Notamacropus eugenii: one gene and its partners. The protein of the gene in region 2 interacts with the protein of the main gene of each other region in a biochemical or structural test. Links are inferred from orthologs where the notes say so. Each region holds a gene or a part of one and is shown on either strand. Other genes may lie near its edges.

What was found.
Region 1: the proteins of PRKAR2A (region 2) and AKAP1 form a complex in vitro, tested with the Homo sapiens proteins (2 studies listed by BioGRID, with this or other methods). The link is inferred for Notamacropus eugenii from reciprocal best matches to the Homo sapiens genes PRKAR2A and AKAP1.
Region 3: the proteins of PRKAR2A (region 2) and RAB32 interact in a test that uses a peptide from one of them, tested with the Homo sapiens proteins (2 studies listed by BioGRID, with this or other methods). The link is inferred for Notamacropus eugenii from reciprocal best matches to the Homo sapiens genes PRKAR2A and RAB32.
Region 4: the proteins of PRKAR2A (region 2) and AKAP11 form a complex in vitro, tested with the Homo sapiens proteins (2 studies listed by BioGRID, with this or other methods). The link is inferred for Notamacropus eugenii from reciprocal best matches to the Homo sapiens genes PRKAR2A and AKAP11.

The regions. Positions count from the first base shown.
Region 1 is NC_092873.1:369,175,955-369,183,627, forward strand, and holds the start of AKAP1 (A-kinase anchor protein 1, mitochondrial), read left to right. Parts: upstream 1-4,670; 5' UTR 4,671-4,754; intron 4,755-6,023; exon of another isoform or gene 6,024-6,091; intron 6,092-7,673.
Region 2 is NC_092872.1:7,586,249-7,593,410, reverse strand, and holds the start of PRKAR2A (cAMP-dependent protein kinase type II-alpha regulatory subunit), read right to left. Parts: upstream 3,008-7,162; 5' UTR 2,924-3,007; coding exon 2,722-2,923; intron 2,600-2,721; exon of another isoform or gene 2,321-2,599; coding exon of another isoform or gene 2,272-2,320; intron 1-2,271. UniProt on the Homo sapiens protein: Regulatory subunit of the cAMP-dependent protein kinases involved in cAMP signaling in cells. Type II regulatory chains mediate membrane association by binding to anchoring proteins, including the MAP2 kinase.
Region 3 is NC_092873.1:238,083,209-238,090,625, reverse strand, and holds the start of RAB32 (ras-related protein Rab-32), read right to left. Parts: upstream 3,017-7,417; 5' UTR 2,700-3,016; coding exon 2,447-2,699; intron 1-2,446. UniProt on the Homo sapiens protein: The small GTPases Rab are key regulators of intracellular membrane trafficking, from the formation of transport vesicles to their fusion with membranes.
Region 4 is NC_092877.1:292,373,611-292,381,180, reverse strand, and holds the start of AKAP11 (A-kinase anchor protein 11), read right to left. Parts: upstream 3,013-7,570; 5' UTR 1,262-3,012; coding exon 839-1,261; intron 1-838. UniProt on the Homo sapiens protein: Binds to type II regulatory subunits of protein kinase A and anchors/targets them.

The DNA of each region.
Region 1 (7,673 bases), on a different chromosome or scaffold from region 2:
AAATTATTTTATTTGTTTTCAGTGTTCTACAATCACTTCCATATATCTTAGATTTTTTTCCCCCTCCCCCACCTTTCCCCCTCCTTTCCCACTCTCTCCCTGAGACAGCATACAATTTTATATAGGTTCTACACATACATTCCTATTAAATACATTTTCACCTTAGTCATGTTGCATAGAAGAATTAAAATGAATTGGAGAAACCATAAAACAAAACATAATACAAAAGAAAATGATCTGCTTCATTCTGCGATCGAATTTCATAATTCTTTCTCTGAATGTGGAAGGCATTTTGCCTCAAGAGTCCATTGGGAATTTTTTAAGTCCTTCAATTGCTATGAAGTACTAAGTCTACCAGAAAAATTCCTCGAACACTGTGATTGTTGCTGTGTACAAAGTTCTCCTGGTTTTAATTAGCTTTTAGAAAGGGGCATTTTACCATAGTGATATTGTTGGTACAAAATACTCCCCTAAAAATCTGTACCACATTCTCCCACAAGTACATAGCAAGAGGGCCCTAGCTGCAAGTGGGCTCACGTTATTGAGAATGTATGGTGATGGGGTAACTCACCGCTCCTGAAATTTGTTTTTTTTATAGTAATCCTCAAGATGTCTCCATTAGGTATGGTGCAGTCCTTCTGCTGAATTCCTTGTAGACCTCTGAATCTGCCTTTCCTCAGCCTGGTCCAGTGATGCTGATAAGAGGTCTAGGAAATCCCAGATCCTCCAGACCCTTCAAAGTTGACATGGTCTTCCTCTTTGCAAAGATGGGAGGGGAAGGAGTATGAGACCAAGGACCAAGTAAGCCTTATTTTTCTCTTCTTCTCCCCACCATGCCAGGCAATTCTTTCTGAAGGGCTATCTATCTATCTATCTATCTATCTATCTATCTATCTATCTATCTATCTATCTATCATCTATTTCACCCTAAGTTACCAGGAGTTGAATCCAAGCTGGCTGGATGTTTTTTAAATGACCCTCATGATACAAATAAGTTATCTTAACCAATTGTAAAAAGACTTGCTATGCACAATTATTCCAGTTCATTCAATGATTTTCAAGAACTTCTACAATGATCAAAGATTTTTTCATACTTCACCTAAAGCCTATGATCGATTGGTTAAAGTCTAGACCTAGGTCATGCCTAATTTTACCCCTTGAATTCACTAATTGTCCTTTCCTGACAGAGTTGAGAACACTCTGGGTGTAGCACCTTGTAACTTATTTGAGTGGGGTGGCATGATTGGATTGAATTGAGTCAATTGATCTCCACTCTTACACTTAATTGTTGACCTGGGCAATAGTTGTAGGTCCAAGAGTCCCTTCCAGGCCACTTGAGCTGAGGCAGAGTGGAAATAGCTTCCTTGAAAATGAGGACAGTGGGTCCTAGAGCAGGCTTGTAGAGCATGTAGGATTTTGGGGGGCCAGTGAAAAATATACGGTTACCACTACACCTTCTCTGCTGCTTATCACATGACCCAAAGCAATCAACCATCACCAGTCTGTCTCTAGTCTAACCCATCTGCTGCCCAAAGACAGAGTGGAGAGTCAAGTGGTTTAGCTCCTCCCTAGTATGGCTTCTGGTGGTCCTGTTTGGAGAGTGAAAAATGTCAAGGGTAAAGATGACAAAGACTTAAGCAAGTAGAAATAATTGATAACTAATATCATGTTCTCCTGTGAGGTTGATACCTAAAGCAATGAGGGACCATTTTATGGGTCTGATGGATGTGTATTCCACCTTTGGCTCAGTTCTGCACTGTCTTCCTCCAGGTCAACATCTTCTGGCAAGCTAGATCAGAAGTCAAATTCCTTTTTCTGTTGGCCATCCTTCTGTTTTGAATCAGCTTCAACTAGGGGCCCCAGGAGATCCTGACTTCTTAAACCCATGAGGCTGCCTTTAAGATTAGTCAGAGCTATTGCAGGATCAATATTCAGTCATTGATGCTTAGAGGCAGAACATAGAACAGATGAGGCAGCCAGGGGCACAAGGCCCAGTCTTAGGCTCAGGCTCCCCTAGACGGGACACATATTCTGTGCTCTGCTCTAGAAGCTGCCATGCTGCCAGGCCCCAGGTGGGGGTGGATGGGCGTCTCTTCTACCTCTCACCAGAAATCTGAGTTACTCCTTTTAAAGCCTTCTTTATGAATGGCTCTTCTTATCTCAATAGCCAATCCTCTAACGCATTCTCTCCAATTCACAACCCTCACCCTAGATGGGGAGTGAGAAAACAAGGTTTCCAACGAAGAGACCACTGAGGGTTTTTCTATGTCATCAGAAAGCAGCAAGTCCTTCATACTTACCTACATGGTGTCCCTACAAGTTGCCAGGAGAACTCAGCATTATGCCTCATGATGAGTACTCCAATCTAACCCCTGATATATAAGTATTTCACCATTCCACTCCTTGGGTTTAGTTCACCCTTTTGTCCAACCCATTTGTATTATCTCTACCCTATGTGGTCATTTTCCAGTATTTTATTTATAGCTTTAGTATGTGTATATAATATTTCATCTATGACATATAAATATAATACATAATAAACATAAATATTTATACATAGTATATATATATGCTTTTAAAAAGCAAGCCTTCTAGATCTCTTCTACATTAAAAAAACTACATTTACAATTTAACAGACATTTGTCCCTGACCTACAGAATACCCCCAACTTTACAAACACTAATTAAACATCAATTCTTCCTCCTAATGGAGGTTTTTATTATTATGATCCACATAATTTGTGGGGACAAAGGCCCATCACTGATGAGAATCTGGTAGCAGAATATAATCCATTGTATGGTACACAGCAGAAATTTACCAACTCTACAGACCTACTGTCATTAAAAATCCTGGAGACAGGCGTCTTTTTGTATCAAAAAGTTATAGAAGTGTTAAGAAGTCTAACACACATGTAGGAGTGGACAGGGGAGGATGCAATTAAACCCCAAAAATCCTTTGATGAATTTTAACCAAGCCTAATACACATTTGCATTTAATAAAAGCCTGGTTTGAAAGAATTATTTAAAATGTCAATTTTAATGATGTGTTTTAAAAATAATTCTTCTCTAGTGACTTCTCACAGAACTCTCTGTGAGACAAGCTAGTTGGTCTCAGTGTGGAACAGACCAGACAAGGGCTGGGGAACCTTCAGCCTCTAGGTGATCAAGCGCAGCCCTTTGACTTAATCCAAACTTCACAGAATAAATCCCCACAAGGATTTGTTCTGTAAAACTTGGACTCAGTCAAGAGGCTGCACCCAAGGATCTAGGAGGCCATATGTGGCCTCGAGGCCCCAGGTTCCCCACCCTTGGATCAGAGACTCTTCCACGGGGGAAGTCAGCCTTCAGAGTGAGAAGGTGTCTCCAGGTCCAATCCCTCCCTCCAGGCCCTCCTGGGACAGTCGCGGAGCCTGTTTCCTAGGCAGCCAAGGAGCCAGCAGTGCCTACCTCCCCTCTGGTGAGCCTCTTTGCTCATGAATCATAATCCCACAATTAGGACAACTGGTGGAGCACGTTTCATCTTCACCTTGATGGCTTTGTTCAAATGGCAAGGAACCCTTTATCTTGGGTTTTAGGTACCAGCGATCCGCAGGGACACAGCCTTTCGCCGTCCCATCGGAGGCACATGTGGGCTGGGGGGCGCTCCCCAGGAACTTTTATTTTTTTAATAGCCTGAGTGCTAATGCTAATGTCTCCAGCTGGTCCTGTACCTAGCTACTGTGCTATGGTGGTTTGGCCATCATCTCTCCCGTTACAACGCCAGCGCCCTGACAGCAAGGACTGGGGTTTTCTGCCTTTCTTTGTATCCCTAGCACATTGCACTGTGTTTGGCACGAAGTGGGCACTCAGTGCTTGAGTCCTCCCTACGGCAGAAAAGCTTTGTTAGAGTTGGAGGGGACCTTTCAGAGGAGACGAGTGAGGTCCAGAAAGGGAAGGCGACTTGTCTAAGGTCACTCTGCAAGGTGGTGGCTGAGCTGAGACTACTGTCCAAGGTCACAGAAGGAGGAAGGGAAGGCTCACGCCGGGGTCACCCCCTACACCGCCTCCCTAACACTTAGGTCCAGACTCGTACAGAGTTTGGGCTCCCAGGTCTGAGCCAGAGAAGATGGAACACACGGTCAACTCTCCGCAGAGGAGAGGGACAAGCAAATTAAGGAGCGAGGGATGCTGAGTGCGCGTGCGCAGCGGGGAAAGGCACTGTTGGGGGAGCAGAGGAGCCAAAGGACGGGAAAGATGGATCATTGGGCCACGCGTGCGCAGGAGGAGAAGGCGGGGTTGTAAGGAGTTGGGTGGGGGCGGGGGAGAAAGGAGGGAGGGAGGACGGGAGCGTGGAACCCGTGCGTGCGTAAGTGAATGAAGGCAGGGCGGTAGGTGGAGGGCAGGGAAGCATGGAATTGCGCGTGCGTGAAGGAGAGGCAGCAAGGAGTTGGGTGTGGGCGGGGCGGAGAAGGTGGAGCAGTGCGCGTGCGTAGTGTCTTAGAGGCGGAGCCGAGGGTAAACCGCGAGGAGCTGGGAGGCGGAGCGGAGGAGGGGGGCGGGGTTTCTCAGCGCGTGCACGTTGTCGGCGCGCGCCTTCACTATTTAAAGTCTCAGAGTTCCCCTAGCCAGGCTGAGCACGTGGGGGAGCGGCCCGAGCCGAACCGAGTCGCTGGGCCGAGGCGGAGAAGGGGGCGGCGGCGGGGTCGGGGGTGGGCGGGGGCAGCGGTAGCTGCACGTGAACTGACTGCTCCTGGGGGGGCGATCGCCTAAGAGCTCGTAAGTGTGGGTGATCGGGGTGGGGGGGGGAGATCTCCCCGCCTCTGCCCCGGCTGGGTTGGGAGGCAGCGGTCGGCGGGCGTTTGGCCCCGGGCTCTCCTCTTCACTTCCACGCCTGTCCTGTCTTCCCGGCTCGTGGGGACAGCTGAGAGGTGCGGGGGAAGCCCGGGGCGGAGCAGCGACCCCTCCTTGCCCTCGTTCTCCCAGCCATGTGTGTCCGCACCTTCCCCAGCGCCGCCGTCCTCGGCCGGTCCTGGGCTGGTGCTTCCCTCTAACTTCTCCTTCTGGCCGCTCCTCCCTCCCTGCCCGGCTGCCCGCGCCGCGCGCTCCGCTTCGAGAAAGCCGCCGAGCTGAGCGTGTCCCACCCAAGGTCGCCCGGCTCCGCGTGCGTTTACTTTCCAAAGGTCGTGTGTACCCAGCCCGAGCGGGCAGAGGGGGCCTTGGGATAGAACCGGATGCCAAGGGCGCAGCCCTGGCGTGGGGTGGGGCCGGGGGTGGGGTCCGAGGACTGGCTCTCCCGCCCCCCTCCTTGCCCACCCAGCTCCTAGAGATACTAGCCTTGAACAGCAACTGAAGAAAAATGTCATCCGCCCTTAGGCCCCGGTCCCGTTCCCGGTCCCGTCCCAGGTCCGAGTGAGGCAGGTGGTAACCGAGAGCCAGGCCCCTTGATAGCTTAACTGATGTGGCTTTGCTCCGTGGTAGACGTTAGCGGAGAAGTATTTTGCCAAATCGACCGTGTGAGCCCGGGGATGAGTGCTGAGGAACGAGGAGAAAAACCCTTCTTGGCTAGTGTTTGGGGAGAGGAAGCAATGGGACGTGATGGAGACTCCAAAGCAGGAGTTGTCACGCCTAGAGAAAAGCTGGTGGAGTTCCGTGCTTCGTGGGAGAGGCCCCCGGGGTGGTTGTTGGACGAATGTTACCGAGCAGAGGGGATTCCCCCAGGACCTGCGGCAGCGACCTGGGTGCTGGGTCTCTTGGGGGGGCGCACGCACCTGTTTGCAATCACAGCTTAAAACAAAGCTAGAGAGAAGGTGCTTGGGCAGGACTCGACTCAGCCTCAGGACAGAGGGGGCGGGCGCTGAGTTGGGCCAGCCTTTCTTTTCTCTCTAGTGGCTCTCAGCGCTATTGGACGGCAGCTGGCAGAAAGTGCATGAGACTAACGGGTTTTTGTTTTGTGTTTTTGGCCCTGTGCTGTTCATTGAGTCTACGGGAAGTGCCTGAAGGTTATGTAACTGAGATCCAGTTGTTTTTTCCTTTCCCCTTCTTTAGGAAAACTTATTCCACCCTCACTTTCCTGGGGGCAGAATTGGGAAGTGGAGGTGAACGACAAGCAGAAGGTGTGTAAACTGGGGGCAAGGTCAGGTGTCAAAATAGAAACAGGCTGACATTTTGATCCTAGTTCTGGTAGCAGATGCCCTTTCCAGCAGGTTCCCACTTTCCCCATCTGCTGTTACCGATAACTAGTTGTCTTTGCTCTAAGTGAAGGTAGAAACACCTAAAGAGAAACCTTTTAAGTTGGTATAGTGTGAATTTTTTTTTTAAAAGAGGCTAGTTTAACTATTGTCCTCTAACTTAAGCACAGACTACTTGGTATTTGAGTATTTCTACGAAGTGAAACCAATCTCAGCTGAAACGACTTTGTACAGCCTGCACAATCTTCTCCCTCTCCTCTCCTCCCCTCCCCGCGCGAGTTTTAATCACCAATGAGGGAAGGGTTCTTTGTTAACACAATTTAAATAAACATAAATCATGTAGGAATCATAAATTGAGGTACCTATAATCTATAATAGGAACTAAATCCAAAACTTGTTGGCCCTTCCATTGTTTTATAGCCCATGTTATGTGTAGAAAACAAAGCTTTGGCTGGCTAGAAGTGAACTGTTCTTAATACTTAAATGATACTTTGTACTGTTTTTTTAAAAACAAAAACAATAAAAACCCTGTAGTATCACTTGGTATTACCTGATTGTCTTCATTTGGATTCACTCTGCCTGTTAGCAGTAAAGTGGAGTTTCTTTCCTGTTCACCTCGGAAGAGATCTCAGCCCTTTCTCTTTTCAAAGCACGTGTAGCAGTAAAAGGATCAGAATTTAAGAATCCCTCAAAGAACCAAACTAACATTTAACACTGCAGTTTTTTAAATCCCTAAGGCAAAATAGGATAATAATTTTTATTCCAAATAAAATAACATGTGCTTTTAATTATTTGTGTTTAAAGGGCAAGTAAATGAGATTGTGTTTTTATAAGGGCTTTATCTCTTCCTAGTTATGTGACTGAAGTGTAAGTGCTAGGGTGAGATTCTTTAGTTGAACTCCCTCTTTTTTCTTTTCTTTTTTTTTTTTTAACCAGGTCAATTAACAAGCATTTATTAAGTCCCATTCTATGTGCTCTTTGCTGGGTAAACTGCTGGGCATAAAAATACAGGACTGAAAAGAACCTGGGGCAAAGAGAACTGAAGAAAACAAATATTTTTAAAGTGCTTACTATGTTAGATATTGGAGATTAAAAGGAGGAAAAGATACCAGCTTTCCAAAAATTACTGCCTATGGGGAAGACAATGTATGTATGTACCTGTGTTCAGAATAAATGTAAGATAGTTGGGAGGGGACACAGTTGCACAGAGTATTAAGTAGCGTAGCCTGGATTGGAAGCCACTTTTCAGTCCAATGTACGTGGCTCTTTGCAGTGGAAAAGAGAACTTGTTTGGATTATGGTGATAAAATAAGGAGCGCCAACTGTAAGACTCCCTTGACACCCTGCTAGGTATATGGAGATCAGTTGAAGGGACTAGAATTCCAAGGGTTATTCTTACATTAGATGATACTCCAGAAATTGTAGATAATTGACTTGAGTGAGTTTGGCAGTAGTTAAATGCTTACTTAATTCTCCCCTCTCTCCCCCATTTATCAAACGCTCCTAC
Region 2 (7,162 bases):
ACTTTAAAAGGGAAAAAACTGTACATGGTACAGATTCATGGTTCCATTTGCAATCCTTCTTTTCTGTTCTATTTATATGAAAATGTTTATTAGTGTTTATAAAGTTCAAAATAACATAAGAGAAAATTTTTATTTAAATTTTAAAAAGTATGATAATGAAAAGTGTGTACCCACTAAATGGGAAACTGAACAAATTATAATATATGAATGGAACAGAATATTATTGTACCATAAATAAACAAATATGAGGAATTTAGTCTTCCAGTATTTCTCTAAAATGCTATCCAATGAAGCAAGCAGAACTGGGAGAACAAGATGACCACAGTAATGTAAATCCAAATAATACTAAAATAAATTCTTGACTAATCTAAAACCCTGAGAAGAAATGAAGCGCCTCTTTTCCTTTCAGTAGAGAGGTGGGGAACTCAAGGCGTGAAATACTACATACACTATCCAGATGAAGTCTCTGGGTTGGTTGGCTGGCCTTAACAGTTTTGTCTTTATTTTCTTTTGGTTTTGTTACCAGGAGGGGCTCATTTGGTGCGGGAATGGGGGAAATCACATGCCAATCACTTATATATAAAAACAAGAGGCATCAATAAAATATTTTTAAAATGATGGTAACAGAAATTTCAACAATCCTAAAGTAAAATACTGCTTTGAGGGTCAAAAAAAGAGCTCTCCCCATTTTACAGATAAGGGAGCCTGAAATAAGAACAGGTTTGACAACTTATCCAAGGCCACACATCAAGCAAATGGCACAGCCAGAACTGGAATAAGCCAACTCCTGATTCCAGGGACTCTTCTGGAAAACACCTTGTAAAATAGCTTGGTTAAGTTAAAGGTCTCCTAAAACACAGACTTTTTTTTTTTACTTTCATGGTATGAATGAAAACATATGTGCCTATCAAAATGAATCTGTCAATCATTAACTAGTACCTAGTCGGGTGCTTGCACCTCAGTAGACATCTTTCTTAAAAGCTTAGGAATTCATAGCTTCATAGGATTTAGAATGGTATAGGACCTTAAAGAGAAATCATCTAGACCAACGTTTTCATTTTACACATGAAAAACAGGCCAGGAGAGAAGTAACTGGACCACTAACTTTCCAGTAGCCCCAAGTGCTCTAACTCCAAATGTAGTGCTCTTTCCACTACTACACAAATGGCTAAAAATATTAGTTCCATGGTGGTTGATAATCGTACCCATGAAAATACAAGTCCCCCCTGCAAGTTTTTCTCAAGGTAAGCTAGACTACCTTCTCCATAAAACATTCCGAAGCAATCTAGGAAACATAATTTCTCTTTGACAATTTTAACTAATAGGCTGCACCTTAAATTACAATGTTGCTTTTCTCCTTTCTTCCAACAAGTTCGTTAAACATTAGCCAAATTTTATTTAGAGAAATTTCTACATATAAAATCGTGTGTGGTTGTGAATGAAGAAACGAAACAAAACTGATTATAGAACCAGATTTCTCAAACTGCAACAAATCAAGTCAGTTCTGGGATGGAAATGTAAACAAAAGAATGTTCAAGCTTTTCCTGTTCCAGTGCCTAATTATCTTGAAATAAAACCGAAGAAGAGACTGAAATTTTAGAATTTTAATTCATTTATTTAGACAATGTTTTAGTTCCTAACTGGTGTGTTAAAAAAGGGATGTGATTTGAGCGACCTGGAAAGGAAAAAAATAAATATTTTGGGTTTTAAAAGTCAAGTATGTTTAATACCTAGCTCGGTATATTTGCAACATGAATGTGTGCCTTTGAAAGCCTGTTCAATGCATGAGGATAATTCCCTGCAGTCTCATTAACATCGAACCACAACACACGCAAAAACCAAGTGAATATTCCACAACTGTTCTAAAGGCCTTTTAAAAACAGTCAAATAAATATGTTAAACAAAATTACACATTAAAAAAAAATTAAACTGTACCTAAGGTCTGGTTCAACACCAGGCAAATTTTAAATTGTCCTTAAATTACGCTAGGGTTTCTAAATATTACTGATGTTAGTTCCAAAACGTTCCAGCAGGTCTTTAAAATGGTCCTTCTGACAGGAATTTTTTTTTTTTGTCAGTGATTACATATGCTTTCGCTTTCCCCGTATGCCAACTGAAGGCCTGCCCTAAGAAGGTGGGCATTAATCCAATCCTCCAGCTACCTAGTCTCATGTGCTCGTTCTTAAGACAAAACACTCCGGTGGGGAGACCTCCCCGCCCTCCAGCACCCCCCTCCCCAGCCCCGGAGGACAAAAGGTGACATATTCTAACAAGATAAGGAGGTCTGCTTCTTGTGGAGTACCACACATGGCACACTCATCTCAAACCAGCGGGTCCACCAGACCGCGGGGGACGGAGGCCTTAGCTGTCAGAGGAGTCGAGGTCACTCTGGGGTCTCTGCATTTCACAGCGCCAGCGCCGCCCGCAAGCTCTCCCCCGCCCCGAAGGGTGCCAAGGGGCATCCGCCCTCCGGGCTCCGGGGGCACAAGCCGTTGCCAGAACGTTGTTCCCAGGAGGAACTCAGAAACGTCTGGGGGAGGGGGACGGTACAGGGGACGCGGACGGAGGGAGAGCGGGGCTCCCACGGCGGCAGAGGGAGGGCCGGGGGCCCCCGAGACCCGAAGGAGGCCGCAGTCGGCGGGCGGGTTGGCCCGGGCGGACCGGGCCGGGGGAGGGGGAGGGGCCGGGCCCTGGGGGGTCCGAGGCGGCCCCGGCTCTTACGTTCAAAGTCCTCGTCTTCCTCGTCCTCGATGTCTCTGGCCTCGCCCTTGTCGCCGTCCACGCCGGCGTTGCGGCTGTCCCGCAGGCGGGTGAAGTAGTCCACGGCGAAGTCCACCAGGTTTTCGGGGCGGTTCCTCAGCACCTCCACCGTGTAGCCCTGCAGGAGCTCCGTGAGCCCGGGCGGGATCTCGATGTTGCTCATGGCGGGGCCGGGGGCGGGGGCCGCTGGCCTGCCTGCCTGCCTCCCTCCCTCGCACGCGGCCGGGCCGGGCCGCAGGGGCGGCGGCTCGGCGCGCTCGGGCGGGCCGGGCCGGGGCCGAGGCCGAGGCGCTCACACGCCGCGGGGCCCGGCGCGCAGGGGGCGGTTCCTCGGCCGCGGCACGGGCCCGGGCGCCGGGCAGCGGCTCGTTCTCGCCCGCGGCTCTCGCTGGCCTGGGGGGCGCAGCGCGCGCCCCGCCGCCCGGCCGCCGCCTGGCTCGCCGCCGCCGCTGGGCTTCCTCCGCGCGGAGCCGCCGCCCCCTTCCCTCGCCGCGGGCTCGGGCTGCGGGCGCCTCGGCCGCCGCTGTCACACTGCTAGCGCGACGGGAGGGAGGGAAGGACTAGCGCGGCGGAGGGGGCGGCGCATGCGTGCCGCGCCTCCCCACGCTCCCGGGCGGCCGCGGCGCCTCCGCAGCCTCCCGCCCCCGCCCTGGGCCCCGGAGCTGGGAGGGGCGGCCGCGTCCTGCGGGCCTGGGTTCCTTAACGCGGAGCGTATTCCTGGGTGTTACCTGCCGGGAGCGCCCCTAAGGTTTACCGCCAAGCCTGCCACGCGCGCTGTCTCCCTGGGACCTCGCAGCCCTCGGCGTAATGGTCCTTATTTTTGTCAAAGAGGAAACTGAGGCTTCCTCGAGCTGGGTCTGCGTGACATTCTCACCCGGGTCTTCCGGCCGCAAGGCTAGACTCTGCTCCGGAAACTGAGGCCGGAAAGTCGAGTGGGTTACCCACGGGGGCCCAGGGTGCAAGCGCAGGGAGCCGAGTGTGGTGGAGAGCCTGAGGTCTGGCGTCAAAGTCCGGCCGGCTCCCGGCTCTCTCCCTCAGGCCGCCCCGGGCGAGTCCCTTCCTCTCCGGGCCCCAGGTTCCTCCTTCGCGCAGCCCCTTTACGAGGCAGAGGCACAGAGCCCAGGCACACTTGGGGGCTTCCTGATTTTCTGGCTCATAGCATGCACCCAAGGAAACTGTGGGAACATCTGGTAGTGCCGCATGGGGAGACACTATTTTTGCTCTCCATGTGCTAACCAAGGCTCAAGGTGGAGAATACCTTTGTTGAAAAATTAAAGAAAGCTCAAAAATCTTGAACCTGAGCCGTTGAGAATGTCGGGATGCTCCCACCTCCATGCAGTAAGAACCCTCCATTCAGAAACCTGTAGAGTTGAGAGACACCAGGCCCCTTTAAGGCTCTCATTAAATGCAGTGCCTTATCGATGCTCTACAGTTCAAACTTAGCGCCATTATCTTCTCCATGCCATCAGATATCCAACATCCCCTTCCTTGCTACAGTCAAAAGCTTCTAGCCAGTTGTAGTCGTCTTTCTAATGGCATCACTCAACTTTGCTTCTATGATCCCTTACACATGGCTGCTCTTCTGTACCAAGATGGTACTTGTTTATCACCATGATCCTCTCCAGAAGAACAGTGGAAAGCAGCTAGCCCGTCAAGGGATTTCCCTGGCACCTCAGCTAAGAGTTTAAATTCTTGCATGCATCCAAGGACACAGTACTTTCCAATTTTGAAGCCCGTTCTTAAATACCCAGGTCCTATTTGCCCATCCTCTACCTACACATTCTGGATTGCTCAAAGGAATCCATTTCCCACTTGTGCTGAATTTTATCTCATGTTAAGTCGCCCCAATTTGCCCCATCTCTATGCCAGGACCGTGATGGAAATGCCTCTTTTTCACTTCAGCATCTGCCTCAGTCTTGGACTTCAGAGGGTTATTCTCATTCTCCAACCACTTTTCTTTTTTCAAGGCAATTGGGGTTAAGTGACTTGCCCAGGATCACACTGCTAGAAAAGTGTTAAATGTCTGATTTGAACTCAGGTCCTCCTGACTCCAGGCCTGCTGCTCTATCCACTGTTCCACCTTAGCTGCCCCTTTCTAACCAGTTTTCTGTCCAGTCTTCCTCTGGGATTACTGATTTAGAATATATAAATAACCATTCTCTGAAAGACTGTCAAACAGGCGAAAACAGCAGCTCCCATTCCCAGGCAATGTGCCTTTGGCAACCCTATCATGAGAACAAAATGTGTCCTTATCCTGTCTATAAAATAAGGGATGTAAACTAGAGGATTCTTAAAATGCATTGCAGCTGACATTTTTTTGTCCAGATGTCTAATGTAGTTCTGACCTTCGATGGTCATTTGAATAACGGAACCAGCCAGTCCTTGGAGCCAGGCTTCCTGACTCGAAATTCAGAGGTCTTTCCTAAACTTATGCTGTACATCATCAAAACCCACTCCCATTCCCTCTCATCAGAACTGTTCTTACAACCCTGTAAACTTAGACTTACCCTGAACTGTTCAAAGGCCCCTCTTTTCTTAGGACAGAGGAAGGTCCTCTTTCTTGTCAAAACAAAGGTTGTAAACAGAAAACAGAAATAATTATAGGTCCCATTTTCCCAAACACTTTTGTTATATTATTCTCATTTTACAGAGTAAACTGAGGTTCATAGAGAAGAGACTTGCCCAGTCCTAAAGTCTTCTGACTCTAAATATGTTTTTTCCACTGACAAGCATCTGCTTCATACTATATTATACCAGACCAGGGAGGTGGAGAAAAACAGAATTAAATGAACTGTCTCCTTTTCTTATCTTATGAGCCAGAGACCTTTATGGAGTCCTTCACAATCTGGCTCCAATCCACTTGGATAGCCTTATCCCAAAGTACTAGGTCGAGCCAAACTAGACCATTCTTGGCCCATTGCTTCTCTATTTTCTACTGCTCCCCTTACCATGCAGGGTTTTGTGCTGAATTATCTAGCCTCCCTACATTTGCTCATATACGGGATGGGAAACATTTGGTTCCCCCTCAATGATGTAATTGCAGAATGTAGAGGGGCAGAGAACTAGGTATTGTTAACTAGGTACTGAGGCAGCTAGGTGGTGCAGTGGATAGAGCACCAGGGCAGGAGTCAGGAGGACCTCAGTTCAAATCTCACCTCAGACACTTGACACTCACTAGCTGTGTGACCCTGGGCAAGTCACTTAACCCCAACTGCCTCCTCCTGGGTCATCTGCAGTCATCCTGATGGATATCCAGACACTGGATTCAGATGGCTCTGGAGGAGAAGTGAGGCTGGTGACCTGCACAGCCCTCCCTCCCTCAAAACAGAGTCAGTTGCAAGTCATGTCATCATTTCTCTGATGGCATCGTCTTCTTCCTCTAATGTAATTAGAGGGGCAACTTGAGATTGGCTAACTGAAAACTGGCCACGTTCTGGACGGCTTTAAATAGCTGATTTAGTCAGATGTGGTAATGGTTAGACAATAAGCATTTATTAAACACATACTTTAATTTATTAAGCAAAAAAGTGTACAAACATGGTATAAAAAGGATAAATAAGAAATAATTAACAGAAAGAAGGCACCAGATGGAAGTGAAATTGATAAAAGCTTCCTAAAGAAGATGAGATTTTAGTCCATACTTAACAGGGAAAGCAATACATAGTGAGTACAAGTTAGGGTAATAGTCCAGAACAGGTGCTATGCTTGAAAGGTCTCTAGTGCCTGGAACAGACTCCTTCTTTATCATTGCCTTTCCAAGGAAGATCTATCCAATGTGCTGGCTCTTTAAGTATGAGGGCAGCAATTCAGTTAGACACCTTTTATCTTTCACCCTTCTCTACTCAATGAACATCTCTCATTTCCTGGTCATATTTTTTTCCTTTCTTTTTACAATTCCTTAATTTGCCGTTTTTGCAAAACTAACCAATATATACACCAAATCTGACAGTATATGCAGGGTTCTATACCCATAATTACATCCCATCTGCAAAGAAAAGGACATGTATTTTCATTTCTCTTCTTTAGGAACATGCTTGGTCACTACTCCATGATGTTACATTTTATGGGGTTTTGGGGTGTTCTTTCCCTATGCACTAAGTACATTATTTTTCTGCTCCGCTTTCTTTACTTGGTATCAGTTCAAATAAATCTATTCTTCTTTGCATTTTTTATATTCACCCTTTATTATGATCCAATATATTCATATACCACAGGTTTTTTTCTTATTATTCCTCATTTATGGGCTTTCCTTTGTTTCCACTTCTTTGCCAATAGAAAAAATGCTGCCATAAATATTTTGTTGTCTGTGAGGCCTTTCCTTCTACCTTGGACATTCTTGTGCCTGGCAGCGAGATCTCTGAGTCAAAGGATCAAGTGGCCATTTTAGTCCTTCTGGTATCAT
Region 3 (7,417 bases), on a different chromosome or scaffold from region 2:
TGGATAGAGTACTGGCCCTGGAGTCAGGAGGATCTGAGTTCAAATAGGGTCTCCGACATTTGATACTTAGTAGCTATGTGGCCCTGGGGAAGTCACTTAATTTCTGATTGCTTTGAAAAATAAAAATAAAAAAAGAGTCAGTCATCATGTTTAAATTCCATTTAGACAAAAGGCCACAACTGAAAAGAGGTCTCAAAAAGAATGATGATCACATGCTGAAGAACTATTTAAAAGGACAGATTTTGTTAGGAAGCAAGACAGTTATTGAGTTCTGTGCAATCACAGGAAGTATTTCAAAAGAGATTTCTCTCATATTTATGTGGCTTACAAAGAAGACTTTTCAACGGATGGCTTCTGAAAAGTCACTGGCAGGAAGGTTGAGCCAAGGTCTGGAAACTTCATTTCATATTAATCACTGACTGACTCTAAGCAAAGTACAATTTATATAAGCATTTCCATAACTGAGATTTAAAAAGAGGGAAATATTTTCTCAACAAAAGTAGCTTTAGGCATGGATTTCTAAACCGTATAGGACAAGAGCCTGGGGTTTCTAACAGCAGTTAGCTGCGCAACCTTGGGGTTACTAAGGGCCTAAGGGCCTCAGTTTCCTTATTTCTATAAGATAATCAGTTGACTGATAAGGACCCACTCAGCTCTATCAATCTCCTGTTTCCTACTTTTGTTGTTATTAAGTGTTAGAACACATATAAAATGTTTACCAAAAAGAAAAAAAGATAACTTCTGAAAAGAATTCTTGGACTACTTCAATTCCCCAAAAGCTCACTGTGAACTTTAGAGCACTCTTTAAGTTCAACTTGTGTGACTTACTGCTAGCTAAGATTATTTCTTGCTTCCTGCTCCTTAAAAAATTTCCAACCAACCTATTCTGCCAAGCATCTCTTTAAACAAATTCAAACAAGCAAGCTCCATGAGGGCAGGTACAGTCTTTTGCCTCCTTTATACCCAGGGGTTACTACTGTGCCTGGCACAAAGTAGCTACTTATCAAAGTTTAAGGGCCTACTGGCCTATTAAGGGTAAGGCTCAGGCAAAGAGGATATGAATACAAAGAAAAGTGAAGACAGTTGAAGCCCTCATAGAAGCCTGCATTCCCTTCTCTCCAGCTATGGTTCCTGCCTGGCACATTTTAAAATCTCTTTAAATGCTCAATTGTCACCACCTCGTTTTGTTTTTTTCTAAGTCAGCGAAGAATTGCTATTTAAATTTGCTTAGGATCCTGCATTGGTCAATTTCCAGCCAGCAGATAAATTACTCTTTTTAACTGTTTCCCTTTCCTGTCCTATATTTGGCAGAAAAATGGGTATATCCAGCATGGCGATTTAAGGATTCAGATTTAAAAAATAAGTTTCAGTACCATCCTAAAAAGAGTTCTGTTTCCCTACCAAGTTTGTTATTATTGTTGTCTGTGGGGTTTTTGTGTGTGTGTGTGGTTATTTTTTCCCCTAGGAAGACTCCTAGGAAGGCAGAAACTCAGCACTGATTTTTATTTATTTACTGGAATGGGGTGGAGGAGAGGAGGGCTGTACTTATGATATCCTTGGCACAGTGAACGCCCAGCGAGTAAACTCTATCAAGGCATTTCAGCTCCCGCGCCTCAATTTTTGCCTTAAAGAGAACTGACTTGGGCACTAAGGTTAAGTGACTTAAGAGATTTTCAGTGCCCAGGATCACAAAGATAGTATGTGCCCTGCTCAGAATTTGAACACAGGTCTTCCTGACCCCGGGCCCGCTCTCTATACATCATGAGAGACATTAATTAAAGTCTTTTAATTTCAAAACTGGGGAAGCTGAACATCTGCAGCAACTCCCTTCTGGGCCCAAGTGCGCAGTGGATGCCCCCAACCCAGCTGCCTTCTCCTGGGGAGGAAGCACCCAGGACAATCAATGAATCAATAAACAGCTGACGCCCCGAAGCTGCCTCCAGGACAGATGAGGAGGCACTGAGAACCACCAATCGTGCCACAGTCAATCAGTATTTATTAGGCAATCACTATGTATCAGGCACTGTGCTAAGAGCGATGGATACAAAGAAGCAGCAGAAGGCTGGGCTTGTCTTCAAGAAACTTACGGTCTAATGAAGGAGAGAACTTGCAAACATGTACACACACACACACACACACACACACACACACACACACACACACACACACACACACACACACACACACACACACACACACACACACACACACACACACACACACACACACACACACACACACACACACACACACACACACACACACACACACACACACACACCCCCCTAAATTCTGGATAAACAAGACATAATTAGCAGAGGGGAGGCCCTGGAACGGGTTGGGTTGGGGAAGCCTCCCCGCAGGAGGCGGGACCGTAGCTGGCACCTAAAGGAAGCGGAGCGGGGGGCGGAGGAGGCAGGACCCTGGCGGGGTCCCCATCCCTTACCGGCAATATCCCAGAGCTGCAGCCGGACCAGGGTCCTGCTGTCCCAGTTGAGGACTTTGAGGGCGAAGTCCACGCCGATGGTGGCCCGGTAGTGCTGAGAGAAGAGCTGGTGCACGTACCTCTTGATGATGCTCGTCTTGCCCACCCCAAGCTCGCCGATGACCAGCACCTTGAAGAGGTGCTCCTGGATGTCGGGCACCGCGGCGCTCGCAGCCGGCCCCGGGCCGGGCTCCCCGGACGCCCCTCCAGCCATCCCCGCCGCGGCTCCGAGTCCCGGGCCCAGGTGTCCCCCGCTCCGCGATGCAGGCGCCCGGGGACAGCGCAGAACTCGCAGAACTTTCTTCTAACTCTCAACTTGGTCGCAGCAACTTTCCACTCCCTCCTCCGCGGTCTACACGCCGCCTGACTCGAGTCACAGGACCTGGAACCTTCCGCCTTATAACAGCCCCCTCCTACGGGGCGGGGAAGGGGCTGACGAGGGGAGGAGACAGCCTCGGGCCCTCCCTCCTAGTCCCGGCCCGAGGACTGAGCTCCTCGGCTGCGGTTTTCTTTCCCCTCCTCCCTTCTCCCTTCCCCCTTGCCTTTGGGGGTAAATAAGGCCCTGAGCTCCTGGGAAGACGTGGACGCTGCGCCCCACCTCGCAGACGCACCGCACCCACCACCTCTCCTGGGCTGGGCAGACGTGAGGAGTAAATCTGCCAAACAGGCCTGCTGGGGCGCTGCGGGAAGCTCACACTTCCCACCTGTTGCACACCCGCCTGACCGGGCTAGACTGCAGGCAGTCCGGGCTTCGAGCCGCAGGGCACTTCCGTTTTGTCCCCAGGGTTCCTGAGAGCCCCCATGGGGTGCAATACGTGGAGGACAGGGTCCCCGCCTCTCTGCCCACAGAGGAGTTAACTGACCCTCTGCTTCTAATCCAGCATTAAGGAAGCGACGCTGGTTTCAGCTTCTAGGACTAAGCCCATCCCCTTTCAACCCCGGACTGGGACATTTGGTGCAGATGGGGTTCAAGCCCCAGGGGAGCCTGGTTTCTAATGAGAGAAGAACTGGGTTGTCTCTCGTACTCCTTAATCGCCCTCCAGGACAGTCCAGGGAGAAATTATTTAAAGATTGGCTTTGGGACTAGTGTTCAGGTAATCCCCAAAAGGAGGAGTATAAAAGTACTCAGCTAACAATATGATTTGGGTATGAGACGGGCATTTTAGTCCTCCGGGCAAAAGAAATGCTAAACCCAGATGACCTCATAGCAAACCTGTGCAGAACAACTTCCAAACAGGAATCAGAAACAGCTTCTAACTATTGTTATAATCTGCTGGGAAGCTGATAACTTAAAACCTCATCTGAACATAAAAGTGTGCAGGACTGCTCATTAAGCATTTTCCATTTCCCCTCAGCTCTGCACTGCTTCCGTCAAAGTTCAAGTCCTCTGGCAAGCCAAGTCAGGACCTTAGCCTCCCCTTCCATTTTCTTCAGTACAGAAATTCCCTGCTTCCAGTCAACTTCTGTTAATGGACCTCTCTACCTCCAAGCCTAGATGTGTCCCTTTTGATGTTCAGTCAACTACTTGAGTGAAAGGAAACATTTAGTCAGTTAGCTAGCATTTATCAATCACACAGTGCACAGAGCTGGTCAGAGGCCTAGATGCAAACTTCCCTAAAGAAGCCTCCTTATGGGAGTTGCCCCACGAGAAAGGTAGCTATAGTTCTGGAGTGGAGCAGGGCCAGCCTGCTTATCTGAAACCCTCACCCCTTACTGCAAGAAATCTGTTAAGTGATGCTGCCTGTAGGGCCTCAGGAGAGCCTGAACTTCTCTCTCTTTTTAAAATGCCCATTGAATCATCAGCTCCTCCAGCATAGCATCCTGCAAAGGGTATCCTGGTATCAAAGCACCAAGTCCTTTACCCACTGAGCCAACATGTGACTACAAAGCCTCCAAGGAGTTTATCATCTCTGAGTGATCATGTTCCAGAAATTTCCTGGGAAGCTCTGGGCACAAGCTAGCTAAGATAGCCCCAACAGGCCAAAGCAACCTCTGATAAACTGATCCTAGAAGCTGTTTTAAGAGGGAGGACAAGGTTAGAGGAGACCGAGATCAAAACCTTGTTGTTCAGTTGTCCTTTTTTTTTCAGTTGTATTCCACTCTTCATGATTCCATTTGAGGTTTTCTTGGCAAAGAAACCAGAGTGGTTTGTCTTTTCTTTCTTCAGATCATTTTACAGATGAGGAAACTGAGGCAAACAGGATTAAGTGACTTGCCTGGATCACACAGTTAGTGAGTATCTGAAGCTGGATTTGAACTGAGGTCTTCTTGACTCTAGGCCTGGAACTCTATCCACTGTGCCATCTAGCTGCCCCTAGTACCTTACTTGGGAGCAAAGAGTGGTTGGCATATAAGCAGAAAATGTCTGGGGGTATCCTAAGGAAAGGAGATGACTGATTTCTTTCATAAGGATTGAGGGTCAGAATGGTTACTTGGCCTTTAGTCATACATAGCAAATAGGAAAGCTGTGATTTCAATTCAGACCTTTTACCAATATATGCTAGCTATGGTCAGCTCCAATCCCCTGCCCTCAGGAATATTCATGTCAAATGCTAAAGTCATACACTGTACAAAGCTGTCAGAAGTAGGATTCTATGTCCTTAGAGACAGATTTAAAAACAAAAATTTTCTCACAATGAGATTTTAAAACCTTAGGACCATGTATCACTAAAACCAACATCACTGTCTCTCAAGCAGCAGAGTACTCTAACAAGATAGCATCTAGAACAACTTCTCTTCCCTCAGGCCTTCTTCAGGTTCCCCAGGAGGACTGTCCTCTGTCAAGTGAGTTCAGAGACCCTGCCATGGAGGAGACCGTTTTGAGAACTTCTCTTCTGAAACTGCTTTCAGAGCCTGTAGTACATAATTTTGAGCACCTCAGTGGGAGGTAAAGGACTGACTTAATCCTTGAAGGTAAGATTTTTGTTTATTTGTTTTTGTTTTTGTTTTTTTAAACAGCCAAAAGTCATTCAGGATCAAGTCTGTTGCTAGAGGTAGGTTATCAAATTTGATAATGTTGTGTTGGTTGGTTAAATCATGAAAGTGTGAATAGGAGTGATTTTCTATTATGGTAGATGAACCAACTCATTTTAATGAATGCAGTAATTAAAAAAAATAAACATGGAATTTCCTCAAGTAACTACTTTCAAGAGAACATTATTCATTTGTCTGTATGAGTTCTACTGATTCTGTTTTTCTAAAGATAATGATGAATATGGGTAGTTTCTCCCAGAATGCTACCTTCTGTGGTTACTCTTTTCTCTTCAAATCCTGCCATCTTTTAGTCCAGGCCCACATTCATTTTTGTCTTCTCTATGAGAGATGTCATAGTATAGTAGAAGAAAAGCTGACCTGGTCTAGAAGCCAGGAACCCCTCTCATCTCTGACGTTCACTGGCCATGTCAATCTGGGCAAGTTATTTAACCTCTCAGTTTTCTAGGCAACTAACACTATGAGTTGTATAGAAGGTGTTACTCTGTATTGGAAGATGGAGTTTTCTCACCTTATACTGATAAAATCAAGTCCAGTCCTTTGCCTTGATAACTTCCTGATAACAGATGACCCTGTCTCCAGTTTCTGTTATTGTCAGTCTATCTTTTATACAGCTAGCAGTAACTTAACACAGTGCCTGACACATAGTTGTGATTGTGTTGTGGTTTGTCCATTATTGAAGAAGACCATGACATCAGGGAGATAATATGTTTTGCAACTGACTGTGATTTGAGTGAGGAAGGGTTGTGCAAGGTCACCGGCCTCACTTTCTCCTCCAGAGTCATCTGGGCCCAGTGGCCAGATGTAGATCAGGATGACTGGAGATGACCCAGGATGCACATAGTAGGTGCTTAACAAGTGCTTATTGACTGAGTGAGTACCAAAATACTTAAGTCATAGGTCTGCCCACATCACTCCCCTACTCAAAACCTTCCCAGGTTCCTTAGTGCCCATAAACTAAAAATTGACAGACCTATCATTGAAAGTCTTCTCCAATTTGATTCCATCCAACCTTTCTAGCCCTAGTTTATATTATCTCCCATCACACACTCTACCTTGTAGCATAATTGACCTACTAGCTTTTTCTCTACCTCTTCTCAACTCTGTGCACTCTGATAGGCTTTCCCCTAGAATACATTCTTTCCCCATTTCCAGATGTTGAAATCCTTCTTTCCTTCAAGGCTCAGCTCAGGTATTGCCTTCTCTAGGAAGCTTCCCTGATCCTTCCTTACATGTTCCTAGAGCACTTTGCTTAGATTTGTTCTTTGTACCTTTCACATTCTACCTCATGTCATTATTATTTCTGTACATGTCATATCCTACCTAGAGGAGTTTATGTCCCTTCAAGGCAGATATGTCTGTGTTTTTATTTTTGTGTTACCAGTCCACAGAACAAAGCTGTGCGTCCAGTAGCCATTTAATAAATGTTTGTTGAACTGAAAAGCACTTAAGAGATTAGCTGTTAAATTGTTTTTTAGTGATGTCTGACTTTCTGTGACCTCATCTGGGGTTTTCTTGGCAGAGATAACTAAAATGGTTTGCCATTTCCTTCTCCAACTCATTTTACAGATGAGCAACTGAGGCAAACAAGGTTAAATGACTTGCCCAAGGTCATACAGCAAGTAAGTGTCTGAGGCCAGATTTGAACTTAGGAAGATAAATCTTCCTGACTCTTGGCCCTGCAATCTAACTGCCTTCCATTTAAGATGCAAAGTAGCTAATAATCAAGACCGATATAAATATATCTTTTATATACTTTATTTCAGAAACATGACCAAAAATGATACCAATTGTTTCCAGAAACAATGCACATCTCATCTTCTGACAATATAATAATAAAACCAATGAACAAGTATACATCAAGTTGCACATGTATAACATATATTGCCACCATCTGGGGGGAGGGGAGGAAGAAGAAGAGAGAATTTGGAACTCAAAATT
Region 4 (7,570 bases), on a different chromosome or scaffold from region 2:
CAAATTGGATGCTGACATTTTTGCAAAAAGTAAAAAGGATCCATGGAGGTGAGACAAAATTCCAAAGGAGGTGAAGAGTTTGGTGATATGCTTGGGTAGCATGAACTTGGAAAGGAAAGTAATTTTTAAATCAATAAGTAGCAGCTTTTTAGGCTTACATTTTTAAGCTTCATTTAAAACTTAAACTCACAAGGTAAGTCCATGGTTCTCTGAGTTTGAATAGCAACTATGACATTGCTTAATTTTACTAATAAATGTTACTGTTATTACAACCTATGACAATGTTTAGAATATACCACTTTAAAGCATACCTAAGATTAGATCAATTAAGGAAAACAGATTTTACACAGATGTCAGTGTTAAGAGAATAAAGTGTATATCATGAGAGAAATCATGGATCTTAAAGTTAATTGTGTGTATAAGTAGGAGTATGCACTATGTTTATGTGTATATACATACATGTGCATTACAGATTAAATAAGAATAAAAAGCCTAAATGAGGAAATGGGAAATTGTAAATTCAACAATAAGGAGGACTTTTTCAGATCTCAAATAAAAATGCAAATTCACAGTCTTCAAGCCTAATTTTTAAAGGAATCTTTGACAATATTCTTCACAAATATCTAAATTTCCAAGACATAAAATCCTTCATTCTGATGCACAAGGAGATCACATACTTGGTTAACAAGTAATTGCTGCCTAAGCTCTGTCTGATCCTCTATCTGAATTTTTTTTAAATGTCCATGTTCATTTTAAAAATCAAATACTGGGGGAGGAGCCAAGAGCAGAGTAGACAGATACACATATGCTAGCTCCAAACCCACAGCCCATGAAATACCTGTAAAGAAGAACTCCCAACAAATTCAGGAGCAGCAGAAGTCACACAACAACGTAGCAGAGGAGATTTCTGTTCCAGAGAGACCTGAAAAACTGACCCGAAAGGTCCCTCGCACACCAGACCCGGAGCAGAGCCCAGCCCTGCCTTGGCCGCGAGACACCAAGAGGAGCAGATCCTAGAAGGCTTCAGGGACAGAATCTCCAGCAGTCGAGCAGGTCCCTCCATCCACAGGAGGCAAAAGTCAGTGAGACGGGCTTTTTGGTTCACAGAGAGGGGAGTGGGGTGCCCCCATAACTCAGGCCCCCTCAGGAGGCAGCAGCAGAGGCAGCAGGAGACAAGGGGGGGGGACTCCCAGAACAGGCAGCAGCTGGGATCCATTGTTGAAGGTCTCTGCATAAACCCCCTGAGGGAACTGAGCTCCATCAGGCAGCCCTACCCCAAAGTGAGCACCTGAAGTTGATCTCACACTGAATAGCATCCCCACCCCCACCAAAAGCCCTGAGGCTGGGAAGCAGCATTTGAATCTCAGACCCCAAGCCCTGGCTGGGTGGATCTGGAGGTGAGATGGGTGTGGAGAGGAAACTCAGAAGTCAAGTAACCTACTGGGAAAATGCCCAGAAAAGGGGAAAAAAATAAGACCACAGAAGGCTACTTTCTTGGTGAACATATATCTCCTCCCTTCCTTTCAGATGAGGAAGAACAATGCTTTACCATCAGGGAAAGATATAGAAATCAAGGCTTCTGTATCCCAAACAGGTAAAATAAATATTCAATGGGCTCAGGCCATGGAAGAGCTCAAAAAGGATTTTGAAAATCAAGTTAGAGAGGTAGAGGAAAAACTGGGAAGAGAAATGAGAGAGATGCAAGAAAGGCATGAAAAGCAGGTCAACACCTTGCTAAAGGAGACCCAAAAACATGCTGAAGAAAATAACACCTTGAAAAATAGGCTAACTCAATTGGCAAAAGAGGTTCAAGAAGCCAATGAGGAGAAGAATGCTTTCAAAAGCAGAATTAGCCAAATGGAAAAGGAGATTCAAAAGCTCACTGAAGAAAATAGTTCTTTCAAAATTAGAATGGAACAGATGGAGGCTAATGACTTTATGAGAAACCAAGAAATCACAAAACAAAACCAGAAGAATGAAAAAATGGAAGATAATGTGAAATATCGCATTGGAAAAACAACTGACCTGGGAAATAGATCCAGGAGAGACAATTTAAAAATTATGGGACTACCTGAAAGCCAGGATCAAAAAAAGAGCCTAGACATCACCTTTCATGAAATTATCAAGGAAAACCGCCCTGAGATTCTAGAACCAGAGGGCAAAATAAGTATTCAAGGAATCCACTGATCACCTCCTGAAAGAGATCCAAAAAGAGAAACTCCTAGGAACATTGTGGCCAAATTCCAGAGTTCCCTGGTCAAGGAGAAAATACTGCAAGCAGCTAGAAAGAAACAATGCAAGTATTGTGGAAATACAATCAGGATAACACAACATCTAGCAGCTTCTACATTAAGGGATCAAAGGGTGTGGAATATGATATTCCAGAAGTCAAAGGAACTAGGACTAAAACCAAGAATCACTTACCCAGCAAAACTAAGTATAATACTTCAGGGGAAAAATTGGTCTTTCAATGAAATAGAGGACTTTCAAGCACTCCTGATGAAAAGACCAGAGCTGAAAAGAAAATCTGACTTTAAACACAAGAATGAAGAGAAGCATGAAAAGGTAAACAGCAAAGAGAAGTCATAAAGGACTTACTAAAGTAGAACTGTTTACATTCCTACATGGAAAGACAATATTTGTAACTCTTGAAACTTGTCAGTATCTGGGTAGTGGGTAGGCACACACACACACACACATGCACACACACAAACAGACATACAGAGACAGAGAGCACAGAGTGAATTGAATAGGATGGGATCATATCTTACAAAAATGAAATTAAGTGGCGAGAGAGAAATATATTGGGAGGAGAAAGGGAGAAATCGAATGGGGCAAATTATCTCTCATAAAAGAAGCAAGCAAAAGCCTTTTTAGTGGAGGGAAAAAGAGGGGAGGTGAGGAAAAACATGAAGTTTACTCTCATCACATTCCACTAAAGGAAGGAATAAAATGCACACTCATTTTGGTATGAAAACCTATCTTACAATACAGGAAAGTGGGGGAGAAGGGGATAAGCAGGGTAGGCGGGATGATGGAAGGGAGGGCAATGGGAGGAGGGAACAATTTGAAGTCAACACTCTTGGGGAGGGACAGGATCAAAAGAGAGAATAGAAGCAATGGGGGGCAGGATAGGATGGAGGGAAATATAGTTAGTCTTACACAACACAACTATTATGGAAGTCATTTGCAAAACTACACAGACATGGCCTATACTGAATTGCTTGCCTTCCAAAGGGAATGGGTGGGGAGGGAGGGATGAAGAGAAGTTGGAACACAAAGTTATAGGAACAACTGTCCAGTACTGTTCTTGCTACTAGGAAATAAGAAATACAGGTAAAGGGGTATAGAAAGTTATCTGGCCCTACAGGACAAAAGAGAAGTTGGGGACAAGGGAAGGGAGGGATGATAGAAGAGAGGGCAGATTGGTGATAGGGGCAATTAGAATGCTTGGTGTTTTGGGGGGGGGACAAATGGGGAGAAAATTTGGAACCCAAAATTTTGTGAAAATGAATGTTAAAAGTTAAATAAATAAATTTTTTTAAAAAATAAATCTATGATGCTCTGAAAAAAAAAATCAAATACTATATTAAGATTACAAATTCCCAGTCATCTGCTTTATGTGACTCTTTCTGCTTGGGAGATGAAGTTAAACACAAGCCCTAAAACAAATAACAAAAATATGTATAGCAAACATAGAACATCCTGTGAAGAGTTAAATGCTTACAACCCATATACAGGTGTTTGAAGAAGGTGAGCAATAAATTTAACATGATGAATTCATACAAGGGAAAGAATAACAGTCATATAATTTCTCATCTACTTAATTAATATAAACTATTAATTTATTCTTTATGGTAAAACACTTCTATTCTTTGATACTAACTCCAAATCTATATAAATAATATTTTCGTAATAAATAATATTTAACTTAATATTTAATAATATTAATTAAATTAATTAATTAAATTAATGATGTTATATAATGTTCCAATATAACATAATAATAATAATATTATATAATAATATAATTAATAATATTTAATTTAATATTTAATATTCTATATAAACAATATTTTCTTAAGAAAACCTTGGGCAGCTAGATGGTGCAGGACATAGAACGCCAAGCTTGGAGTCAGGAAGGCCTGAGTTCAAATCCAGCTGTATGACCCTAAGCAGGTCACTTAACCCTGTCTGCCTCAGTTTCCTCATCATTAAAATAGACTGGAGAAGGAAATGGCAAACCACTACAGTATCTCTGCCAAAAAACTCCAAATGGGGTTATGAAATCAGACATAATTGAAACAAGTAAACAATAACAACAAAAAAGAATATCTTGAAGAAAAAAACCTGAAAAACCCATTATGTAAAAGTTTCATAATAGTTTTGGCCAAAAACATAAATTCTGATGTGAAAAATTTATATCATAAAAATTTATTGAGAGGTTTTAATCTGGGTAATTTTGATAATATAAAATTGAAAAGATTTTTGCACCTATAAAAACTAATGCTATTAAAATTAGAAGGGGAAAAGGTACCTGCGGAAATTTCTGCAGCAAGTTTCTCTAATGAAGCTCTCATATCAAAGACATATATTGAACTAATTTAAATTAAAGAGAAAGAGCCATTCCTTATAGATAAATATGGTCAAAGGATATGAATCTACAATTATTAAAGGAAAAATTCCATGCTATCGTGTGAAAAATATGTGAAAAAGTCATTCACTAATAATCAAATAAAAACAAGTTAAGCCTGATTGGCAAAAATAACAAAAGAGGAAAATGACAAATGTTGAAAAGCTTTGGGAAAACAGGTGCATTAATGCACCATTGGAGGAACTATGCACTATACCCCCAAAGTGACTAAATTCTGCATACCATTTCAACTAGCCAGACTACTACTAGGCCTACAAACCCAAGACATCAAGCAAAAAGGAAAAGGTGTCCTATATATACAAAAATATAAACTAAGGGGATTCCCAGCTACGAAGAAATAGTTAAACAGATTATGGTATGTAAATTATTGGACTATTCTTGTGCTTAAGAAATGAACAGTTTTAGTGGAAACCTGAAAGATCTTATAAACTGATAATACAACAAAGCATGCAAAACTAGGAGAACAATTTATATAATAACAACAACACTGTAACAAAAAACAACTGTGAAAGATTTCAGAATTGATTGATACAATAATAAAACAATGGTAAATCAGAGAACTTAAGATGAAACACACTGTCCATCTCCTGACAAAGAGTTCATAGATTTAAAATGCATAATGTGACAGACATTTTTTTGACATAGCTAATGTGGGGATTTGTTTTGCAGGACTACATATTTGTTATAAAAGTCTTCTTTTCCTTTTTATTGCTCAATATGTGCAGGAGGGGGAAGGGAAGAGCCAAATGCTTTTGAAAATGACTAACTGTTTAAAACTTTATTTACCTGTTTTTGAGGATCAGCATTTGTTTCTGATGACTTCTTTATATCCTTCAGAAAAATAACTTCCTTTTCACTTAGACTGCAGAAGTGGATAGAATTCAGAAGATCTGGGAGTTCCAGAGAAATTGTAGCTAAATCCTAATTTTAAAAACACATAGAAAAAGTATGAGACATGCTTAATTTAGCCCCTAACCATGAAAATATAATCTATTTGGTTAACAGATAAAATATAAAGTCTATAAGTTTAAAAAATCTATTTACGGAAAACCAACTTTCAAAGAATTTTTAAAAATAAACTTCACTTAAATTTTTATCTGCACTACCGAGTGTTCACAGATTTGCCCTAAAGGTTGTCAATATGTAAAATTATTTATGAGAGGCACCATGGAGTAGTGGAGAGGGCACTACACTTAAAGTCAGGAAGACCTGAGTTCAACTCTAGCCTGAGACACTTCATAGATTTGTGACTGGTTAATCAATCAAGCAACAAGAATTTATTAAGTGCTTACTATACTCTAGGTGCTAGACCCTGGGGATAAAAGTACAAAGTATGAAACAATCCCTACTCTCAAAGATTTTACATTCTAATACAGGAAACAAGTATATAAAAAACATGTAGAACACACACATTAACCTAATACAAATCCGTTTTACACCTATTTCCTCGAGCTCAAAGCAACTCTGATGTCATAAAAGAAAGCCCAAAGTTAACTGAAATTCAGTAAATAGAGTTGCAAATTCAAAAGAAGATATATAGCACATGCACACTAAATTGTTTTGCTATAACTCAGATGACATTCAATCCCTTCACTGTAATACTAACAAAAATTGTACTAAACTACATCAGGTAAAAATATAAAATTGGATAATACTTAATCTTATAAAATTAATGTTGTGTACTTATTATATTATTTAAATATCAAAATATGTAAGATTAAGATAAAATATTTTATCAAAACCACAACTTTAAAAAATCCTAATTTTTTTTCTTTCCCACCATGTATAATTTGTATTAAAGAGAAGTTCGCTTGTGGTCTGCACAATTCAGACCACTTTTGCGACTACTATGATTACTATTACTATGACTACTTTTTTCATGAAAGGAAAACTCAAACAGGTTAAAAGTACAAAACTTCGAGGGCAGATTGGGGTAAGGGGTAATCAGAATGCATGCTGTGTTGGGGTAGGTGGAAGGGAAAGATGGGGAAGAAATTGGAACTCAAAATCTTGTGGAAATGAATGGTGAAAACTAAAATTAAATTAATTTTTAAAAAGTACAAAACTTCCAAGGCACTGTCAGAAATTTTTAAAAAATCAAGTTTCAATTTTAAGAATTAAGAGATAATGGTACACTATAATGATAGGCAAGATTTTCATGGCATCATGAAGCTCGTTGAAATGACTTACAGAGGTTCCTTTTCACGCTCCACATTCTACTTTACCTGCACATGACCAGCATCTGTTTCTTCATTGAAACCTAGAAAGGTAACCTGGGAAAAAAAATAAACACAATTCTGCTAAGCGAAAATTTTCCTAATTGTCAGATCAGGACAGATGGACAGAGCTTGAAAGCCGGGTCAGAAGAACATTAAGCAGAAAAATTTTAATGGTTTATTGCAAGATGATTTTTTTAAAAATGTGATTCTAAATGTCTTATAACACAGTCTTAGATATAACAATCTTAACATGATCATTATTTTATGAACATTAAAGGATCAAGTTACAAGGCTGTACCAAGTAGGTACTTTAAATTCCTATAAGATTTTACCAAAAGTCTCTAAAGAACACACTCTCCCCCTCAACAGAATGATGAATAAAACAAAAGACTCATTTCCTCCTCGTTCCTCCTATCCTGTCTAACTCTCTCTTTTCCCAAATGACTTCCTGACAGCCCTATACTTCTGAATTGCCTCTTTCCAGAAGAATTCCACAATTGGGCTGCCTCTTCTGATTGGTCCTCCATACAAGAACCACATTAATCTTCTTTCTCACTTCACTTAAAATTCCTAGGCTGATCCTTCCAGCATCAACAACTTAGTTCAATAACCTTGTAATAAGTCCCCTCCACTTGCACCATAGGTACAGAGTATGTACCAGGTTTTGTATTGTTTTGCATCATTCTGCTCACTTTAT